Linked DNA regions of Styela clava. The protein of the gene in region 1 interacts with the protein of each later gene in a biochemical or structural test. Links are inferred from orthologs where the notes say so. Each region holds a gene or a part of one and is shown on either strand. Other genes may lie near its edges.

Evidence for each region.
Region 2: the proteins of DNA topoisomerase I, mitochondrial-like (region 1) and serine/arginine-rich splicing factor 1B-like form a complex in vitro, tested with the Homo sapiens proteins (2 studies listed by BioGRID, with this or other methods). The link is inferred for Styela clava from reciprocal best matches to the Homo sapiens genes TOP1 and SRSF1.

The regions. Positions count from the first base shown.
Region 1 is NC_135263.1:8,555,009-8,558,938, forward strand, and holds the start of DNA topoisomerase I, mitochondrial-like, read right to left. Parts: upstream 3,119-3,930; 5' UTR 2,911-3,118; intron 2,737-2,910; 5' UTR 2,727-2,736; coding exon 2,643-2,726; intron 2,267-2,642; coding exon 2,139-2,266; intron 1,834-2,138; coding exon 1,788-1,833; intron 1,652-1,787; coding exon 1,599-1,651; intron 1,521-1,598; coding exon 1,445-1,520; intron 1,229-1,444; coding exon 1,172-1,228; intron 1,002-1,171; coding exon 833-1,001; intron 708-832; coding exon 586-707; intron 321-585; coding exon 198-320; intron 1-197. Other genes in the region: N(6)-adenosine-methyltransferase catalytic subunit METTL3-like, read left to right, coding at 3,882-3,930. UniProt on the Homo sapiens protein: Releases the supercoiling and torsional tension of DNA introduced during the DNA replication and transcription by transiently cleaving and rejoining one strand of the DNA duplex.
Region 2 is NC_135257.1:13,136,416-13,140,345, reverse strand, and holds serine/arginine-rich splicing factor 1B-like, read right to left. Parts: upstream 2,720-3,930; 5' UTR 2,577-2,719; coding exon 2,419-2,576; intron 2,188-2,418; coding exon 1,979-2,187; intron 1,884-1,978; coding exon 1,711-1,883; intron 1,641-1,710; coding exon 1,389-1,640; 3' UTR 619-1,388; downstream 1-618. UniProt on the Homo sapiens protein: Plays a role in preventing exon skipping, ensuring the accuracy of splicing and regulating alternative splicing.

The DNA.
Region 1 (3,930 bases):
TGTGATGAAATAAAGAGAATTGATCATTAAAAGCATTCAATATAGTGATTATATTATGGTACTGCAGAAGTATGCATACCAAGATGTCGCACAACCTGAATCCTAGCCGGTAAACACATACTATGTTCAGGTATTGCGCCATCTTGGCGCGCATACTCCTGGAGGTCCGATTATATAAACAAAATTAGACAACTAACCTGCTTTTCTTGCTTTGACCTCGCTTTTCTTTCTTCCGACTTCATTTTAAAATATTCATTTGTGGCCCGAAAATCACATTTACCTAGATCTGTTATAATCTCCTTTTCCTTGCTGGTCATAACCTTGAAAAAAATAAAATGCAATTGTCAATCTCCATTATCTAATTCACCAAAAGTCATCTGTCAATCTCCATTATCTAATTCACCAAAAGTCATCAATTCAATAATACATAGTCAGGTGTAAATTACCCAAACAAGAGAGAATTATCAAAGTAAAGTTGACTATCTCAAATTCACTAAATTATAAAACTTTGAAAAGCTGATAGAAGCATGAATTCCTAATCTAAATTTGATCTATCCATCTATCTTAAAAGTATTCAATACAAACCTTGCGCCAGTCATGAAAAAAATTTTTATTGAAGATTTCTTTCGAAGTATAATCGTGGTCCAACATTTTAGCATAGAACGTCATTACCTCTTCTGTTTCTGGTTCGAGATGCATCACTTTCCCTACAAAAGCATTGATGAAACATCAAGTATTGCTTATTGTATTGGCACAAACTGAGGTTAAAAATAAAATATATGTGATAATGGCTATGATTTGCTGCAGAGTTGTTGCTTCCAAACTTTCTTACCGCCATATTTGAAAGGAACAGAACTTGGCAGAGGTTCATATTCAGGGGCAAACATTGGTCCTTTGTGTTCAAGAGTTTTCCATTTAATTCCATCATCAGTATCCTTCTTTTCTTCCCACCACTTCCACTTTGAAGCTGCTTCCTCCTCTTCTTTCATTTTCTTTGTTTTCTTGAAGAAATTAACAGAATTTAAATATTGTACCAATCCTTGACATTACCTTTTTTATACACATGTATGCCATAATGCATTTCCCCCAATATGAGAGAGCCATAGAAAAATGAACCTAACATTCTGGACCATATAAAGACGTTGCTTTTAGTCTACAATTGAACACTCACCTTTTTTGTCGGACTAGACAATGTAGAGGAAGGTTCGGCCTTCGTTTTAACTTTTTTCTAAAATAGAAAATTCATTATGACATAACATTTATTTTAAAATATATCAATAATCAATATCAAATCAATACTAAACCAAATACTTCTCATCAATTCTTCCAACGTTGTACAATGTTACAATACTGAAGGAGCCGGGCAATAAAATAAACTGAGATTTCGGTAATGTTAAGCGTAAAACAGACTAAGGCTATATCGAATGACCATTTCCTGACTTACAATATTTGGCTTCACATCATTTTCTTCAGCTTTTCGTTTCTTGGCATGTTTTTCCTTTTTCAACTTCTTCTTCATTCTATAATTGTTGACATGAAAATTATATTTGATGTATCTGGACATATATCATTCTGGTTAATGAATTTTCAACACATACCTCCTGATTTCTTCATTATCTCCATGATTAGTAACCCCTGAATTCTGATGAGGCTAAAAATGAATTCCAAAGTTGTTACGGTATGATATAAATAAATTGCAATTTAATACAAAAATTGGAAAAATAAAATGCCAAATACAATTTAGTGTTTTCCAAATAAAATTTTGGTTGCCCGCCCCTATTACTAACCTCTCCAGAATCCATTCTTTCTGTTTTAACTTGCATAACACCTTGACTGAAAAGAAAACAAAATCTGAGTTAAATAATTGCAAGTCAAGATATGATTGAGGGCAGGGTAGGAAAGTGCCAACCCCTTTATTGGCAAATATCAAAACCAAATTCAACTCTATGAAAAAAGAAAAGTATAAACAGGGAAGAAAACACTAAAAATTTATATGACGATCATGGACCAAGATAAGATTACTTTCACGAGATAGAATTGATTGCAGATAATTCAACTAATAATGCAATGAGTGATATAATTTACTGGATTCAATTAATACAAAGCATCAGCAAGAAACTCAATTTAAAAGATCTTACTCTCCAGCATGATTGGCAGTATGGTGTTCTGGTCGGTGCTCCCTTTTAATTCTTATTCTTTTCCCATCAGGACCAATTTTTGGTTTTCCATTTGAATCAAGTACATATTTGTGCTTACGATCTTTATCCTGAACAAAATAAATGACTATTATTAATAAGGTGCATGGACAACTTGTCTAGATTATTTCTTAATACAATTATCTAATAAGGCATGCAGTGATATATCACAGCCATAAAATATTCCAATTGATTTGGATTTCATTTGATTTCGCTGCATATTTTATTTATTTTGGGTTTACTCATTTTATAGAATATTGAAGTAGGTATTCATGAATTGAAAGATATCATTAAATCTGAGCTTGTCACTTCAAATCAATTTCATATATTTCAAAACTCTTCTATTACATACCCTACCTTAAATATCTTCCAGTCCCATTAAAGAATTATATTAATTATTAAAAACAAACAAAATTTAGAGAACAATATATCAAAAATAAATTCAACCTTGTGATGCTTATGCTTGTGAGGCGAATGTAATTTCTGTGGTGATGAACCATTCAGTGTTGTTGAGGAGTGTGCGAGTTCCATGGAAAGCAAACTAAAAAGGATTTTAAATTTTATAATTGAAAGATCATTCAGTCATTGCTAATGCAGTCATAAACCCATTAAAAAGTAACAAAACATTTAAAAATATAGAAATAACATATGCTATTTCACAGCCTTGCTAATAAAGTACGGGTACTGACAGTAGGGCTATTTTCGAATAACTTACCTAATATTAACAGTGAATAGTAGACGATCAGCGTCTGTCTTGTCTGTAGAATCAATAGAAAATGACTTCGCAAAGTTTTTTTCTTGGTCGTTGCCCTTGATTCAAAAACTGAATGACGACTCCAATGAGTAATGAAACCAAATTCGTAGTTATACACTTCAAGGCAGTGGAGTCGTAACCAACAAAGCAGACAAACGAAGAACCACACAAGGCAAACCAGAAGACAGTAATGGCGTTCAAAAAAAAGAACAAGTCCGACAATTTCCGTCTGCGCATGCGCACAGACTTAGCTTCTTTACCTTTTTCTTTGCCTGTGTTACGCAAACGGGTGTCGCGAGAAAAAAGTTAGAGTCTTTTGTCTGAGTTTAAACCTATGTTTTCGTTCAGATGTGCGCTGAGTTGGCGTGAGTGCGCTTGTAGTTTTATGAACGCGATTTGTCGATTCACGCAGTGAACACGAATCACCGTACTAACATTCTGAGATAAATTTCAATGTTGCTGCGTGTGGTCATATGTACATGCAGGGAAATCAAAGTCATTTCACGTTGCAACCAAACCGCATTGTTTCATCGCCAATTTACATATGCAATAAACCCAAACACATTCGATTTTTTCTGTTACGAACCTTCCTTTTTACGCATTGACGACATTTAACCACTTATGCATTTCACAGTTAGTTAGAATTATTAAAATCCCATAGATTTTCCCCACTTATACCATGGAATATCAGACCTCAAGTACAGAGTGCTGTCACCACAATTCCCAGTAATATTATGAAGAATATAAAGCATATATTCAAAGATGTCCATACACAATAATTTCATATGTTTTGAACTTGCTTGCTAGTGGTGCAATTGTCCTATACACTGCCTCAAACTATATCTTTTGAATTATTTAGTTGTTCTTATCCACTAGCATAAACCTTCTGGCTATTTTAATAACATTGTGGATCTTCTCTCTCATCAAGAACAATGTCTTCTGATACTTGGACAAATTTACAAAAGCTGAAAATGAAACAGG
Region 2 (3,930 bases), on another chromosome or scaffold:
AATGATGTACCTAAATTATGTGACATTTGAATCAGGAAAAGTAAGTGAATTCGTCCCGAAGTTAGACTTGACAAAATATATATACCCGATGAGAAACAACTGCGCAAATCAGACTTTTGCACCTATGTTGCGATCTTCTATGACTAAACCATAGATTGTATAAATTCGAACTTGCTTAGGTGAATTTGGAAATTTTATGCTGAAAAAAACCACAAGCCACTTTTTCTATGATTGTGTAATGGCAATTTTGAGAAACAAAAGTCAATTTCAACTTTTCCAAGGGATTGTACGTTAGGAAACTCTAGTAATTTCCACAACTGCTTTGCAATCCTACTCTTCTTGTCCGGTTTTATACATAAAATACAACTCAGTTCAGTATACTTACCACAAATCTGCTTGGAGCGAGATTGAACGATAAATCGCATACAAAAACATATTACAAACACTGACTGTATCCCAGTACTCAGCGCGCTCATCGTGATTTCCACATAAATGCCAGAAAGGTTCAAATAGAGGAAGACTACCACATTTCAAGATAAGATAGCAAGATTTAAGACTCAAGACATGGCTCAATTGTTCCAGGTACACAGCAACAATCCTAATTCAAAAGTCTCAAACTGCAGCCTCAGTTGGTTTATTAGAAATCTCACAAATAAAAACACTACTTTTTAAATCCATAACTTTAAAATTACCGCTTAGGGATTAGCACTAGTTTCAAAGCGACCAAATACCTACTCCTGATAATAAATTCCAGCATTTTCCACAGAAGCTCCAAATTCCGAAACAATGATGCTATTTCCAAAACGAAGCCTTCAATACTTAAATTTCGAAAAATGTTTTCATTCCTAATACGTTAAGAAATCCAAATCCTATGCGCACAGTTTAAAGAATCCTTTTTCTCCAGATTCCATAATTTCAAACGTGGATCCTAATCCATCCAAAGAAATGGTATCCTATCCAACTAGCGGCAAATCCCCATTCGCAAAAAGGATCCAAAGATCTGTCAATTTCAAACAAAAATAGAATTAATAAGAATGATTGGATAGGGAACCACAAACATCAAATAAAATAAATTCCTTCCGGGCCTCCCAATGCTACAATCATATTCAAATTCCAAAATCCAGGGATTTCAGTATCCTAGTCCAATTGAAGACATGTGATTCCATTTCACGATATCCTATATTCTTTAGACAAGATGATCTCCAGTAATGGATGATCCAAGTTCTAGACAAATTAACAAAAAAATGTTATTCAGCTTGGTACGAGAATTATTTTGTATACACAATTTGCTTTGCATTTTCATAAAATGCGCAGCATGTTTTTACATGCTATCAAACTTTAACTGGGCAGTTTGTACTGATATACAAAAATAAAAACTTGATTTAAAATCATCGAGATCTTGATCGAGAACGACGAGGAGAGTAAGACGCAGAACGACGTCGTTTTGGTGAGCGAGAATAAGATCGACGGCGAGGGCTGTAAGAAGGGGAAGACCGTCCTCCTCCACCACCACCCCCACGAGCTCCAAAGCTTCTACGACCTCGACTGTTGGACCGAGATCGGGATCTTGAGCGTGATCTAGAACCACCACCACCACCAGCTGAAGAGTCAACTTTGACCCTGATGTATGCAACTTCTCCCTAAAAACAAAAACACCATTAGTAAAATATGCTTGAGAGACTTTAATAAATATATTTGTGATCTAATTACTTCGTGAGACTTGAATTTGGTATCATCCAAATGTTTGACAGCAAACTTCACATCTTCTCTGTTGACAAATTCAACAATTCCAGTTCCATCCCTGAATACATCTGCATAACAAACATCACCAGCTTCTCTCATATGATCTTTTATGTCTTGCCAACTTCCAGTAGGCGGCAAACCTGAATATAAACATAAACCTGAATAAGACTGGATTCTCTACAAATGAAAAACTTCTTGTTTATGTGATAAAAGGTACAAAGCAACGAATATATACCTGAGATCATAACTCTGTGGTTTGTCCTTTTGGATGGAGGTCCTCCTCTGCCTCTACCAGGTTCATATCTTCCACCACCGCCGCCACCACCACCCATAAAGTGACCGCCACCACGCATTGGCGGCCCACTGCCTCTAGGGTATTCAACTCTAAGTCGATAACCATCATAATCATATCCGTTCCTCCCTCTGATTGCATCTTCTGCATCCCTGGTAAATAAATTCATGAAATATTATCGACTTGATTGTATGCATACTACTATACTAGCAAAGTAGTAAAACTGACCGATTTTGCAAAATTAAATACTTCAAAAAGCTAATACAGCATGATTATAATACAGTACTGCAGTATGAAAGCATAGTTAAAATAATAAAAAAAAGTTCATAAATCAGTATTCTGGTACGGTAGTAGACTATACATACAGCCATATGGTACCGTACCTGGAATCATTAAATTCGACAAATGCAAATGGTGGCCCTTTCCTGTTTTTCAATTCAACAAATTTTATATCTCCATATTTGTGAAAAAGGTCTTCAACATCCTTTTCTCTGACATCAGGAGGAAGATTTCCTACATACACTCTGCTATCTCGGCTCATATTTTCTTTATGTTTAATCAATTTTATTCCAAGTATAAACCTGCAGACCAATTATTTGTTACAAAAAAGGAGATATACTTTAAAGACAACATAGGTGAACAAGAAGACGATGCAGAAACTCAAAGTGATTTCGCACCACTGCCTCACAAAGAAAGAAACTTGTGTTCTTCTTAATGGCCGCAGGGCAAACGTCATTTCCGCCTTTCGTGTGCTGTTGTCAGTTTACAACGTGGTACTTTTCGGTTGCTGGTCAGCGTATTTGAACGCAATTCCGTTTTTGTTTGGATAAAAATAAACTAATACAGATTGTGCCTTATGTATGTATTTTTTACCTATTTTGGCACTATCAAATATAATATTTGGTCAAGCATCGTCACACTTGTTGTTGTATACCATAAGAAAATCTGGCAAGTGAAATATATGCGGATGAATACAGCAAAATGAGGAGATTAATTTGCTCGCCATCCACATATCAAGCACACGGCGAGTGGCGTATTTCAAAATGCAATCGAATCACACATACATGCAAATAATTTACGAATTTGTCATTTCATATTAAATCATTTCGTGGTTCTTTTGTCTCGGGGAAAAATATGAAATATCCTATTTGAATTTTGGGAGAAGAAAAACACCAGCAAAAAATCCAAAAATACACTAAAACAAGTCAATATTTAGGACGTTAAAAATATGCTTGAGTGAGAATAGAACGTAAAAAGAGTTATTGCATAACATGTTTGATATGAGCGACTGGTTAAATATTATTTATTAGGTCGCCGTAAACCTTTTACTGTAAAGTGGTTTGTTGCTGTAAAGTCATTGTTCCGAAAACAAGGATTGGCTCATAGAACGCCCATGGCTATGAACTGTGGTGGCCGGATTCTAAGGCTATACCAGTTGTAAGGCCCAATTTTAACAATGACGTCATAAAACACCGTTGGATGCATTATGAAGTCATATTCGGGCTTTCAAAGATATATAAAATATATTATGACATCATCAAAATTTTTGAAATGGGTGATAAAAAAGTTAATGATAAAAGAGATATAAAAATAAAATATAATAATTATTAGATTCGTTGTTGAGCAGATCAATATGTATAACCATATATCGTTATTTTTTTTTATCTTTTTAAAAATTAAGGCTTTTTAATTGTTCAAAATTGGGTACTTCAAAAGTATGTGAACCAAGATGTGGCGGATAGTATAGCACCAGGTTAGGGTTAGTCCATAATTTTATTCCGATTTTCCTTATTTTAGTTATATTACGAGTTCGGGACTAGCCAAGTGACTCCCGTAGTATTTGTACCTGAAATTTTATGACATTGTATGATCTAATCAAGTGGCAAATCTCTACC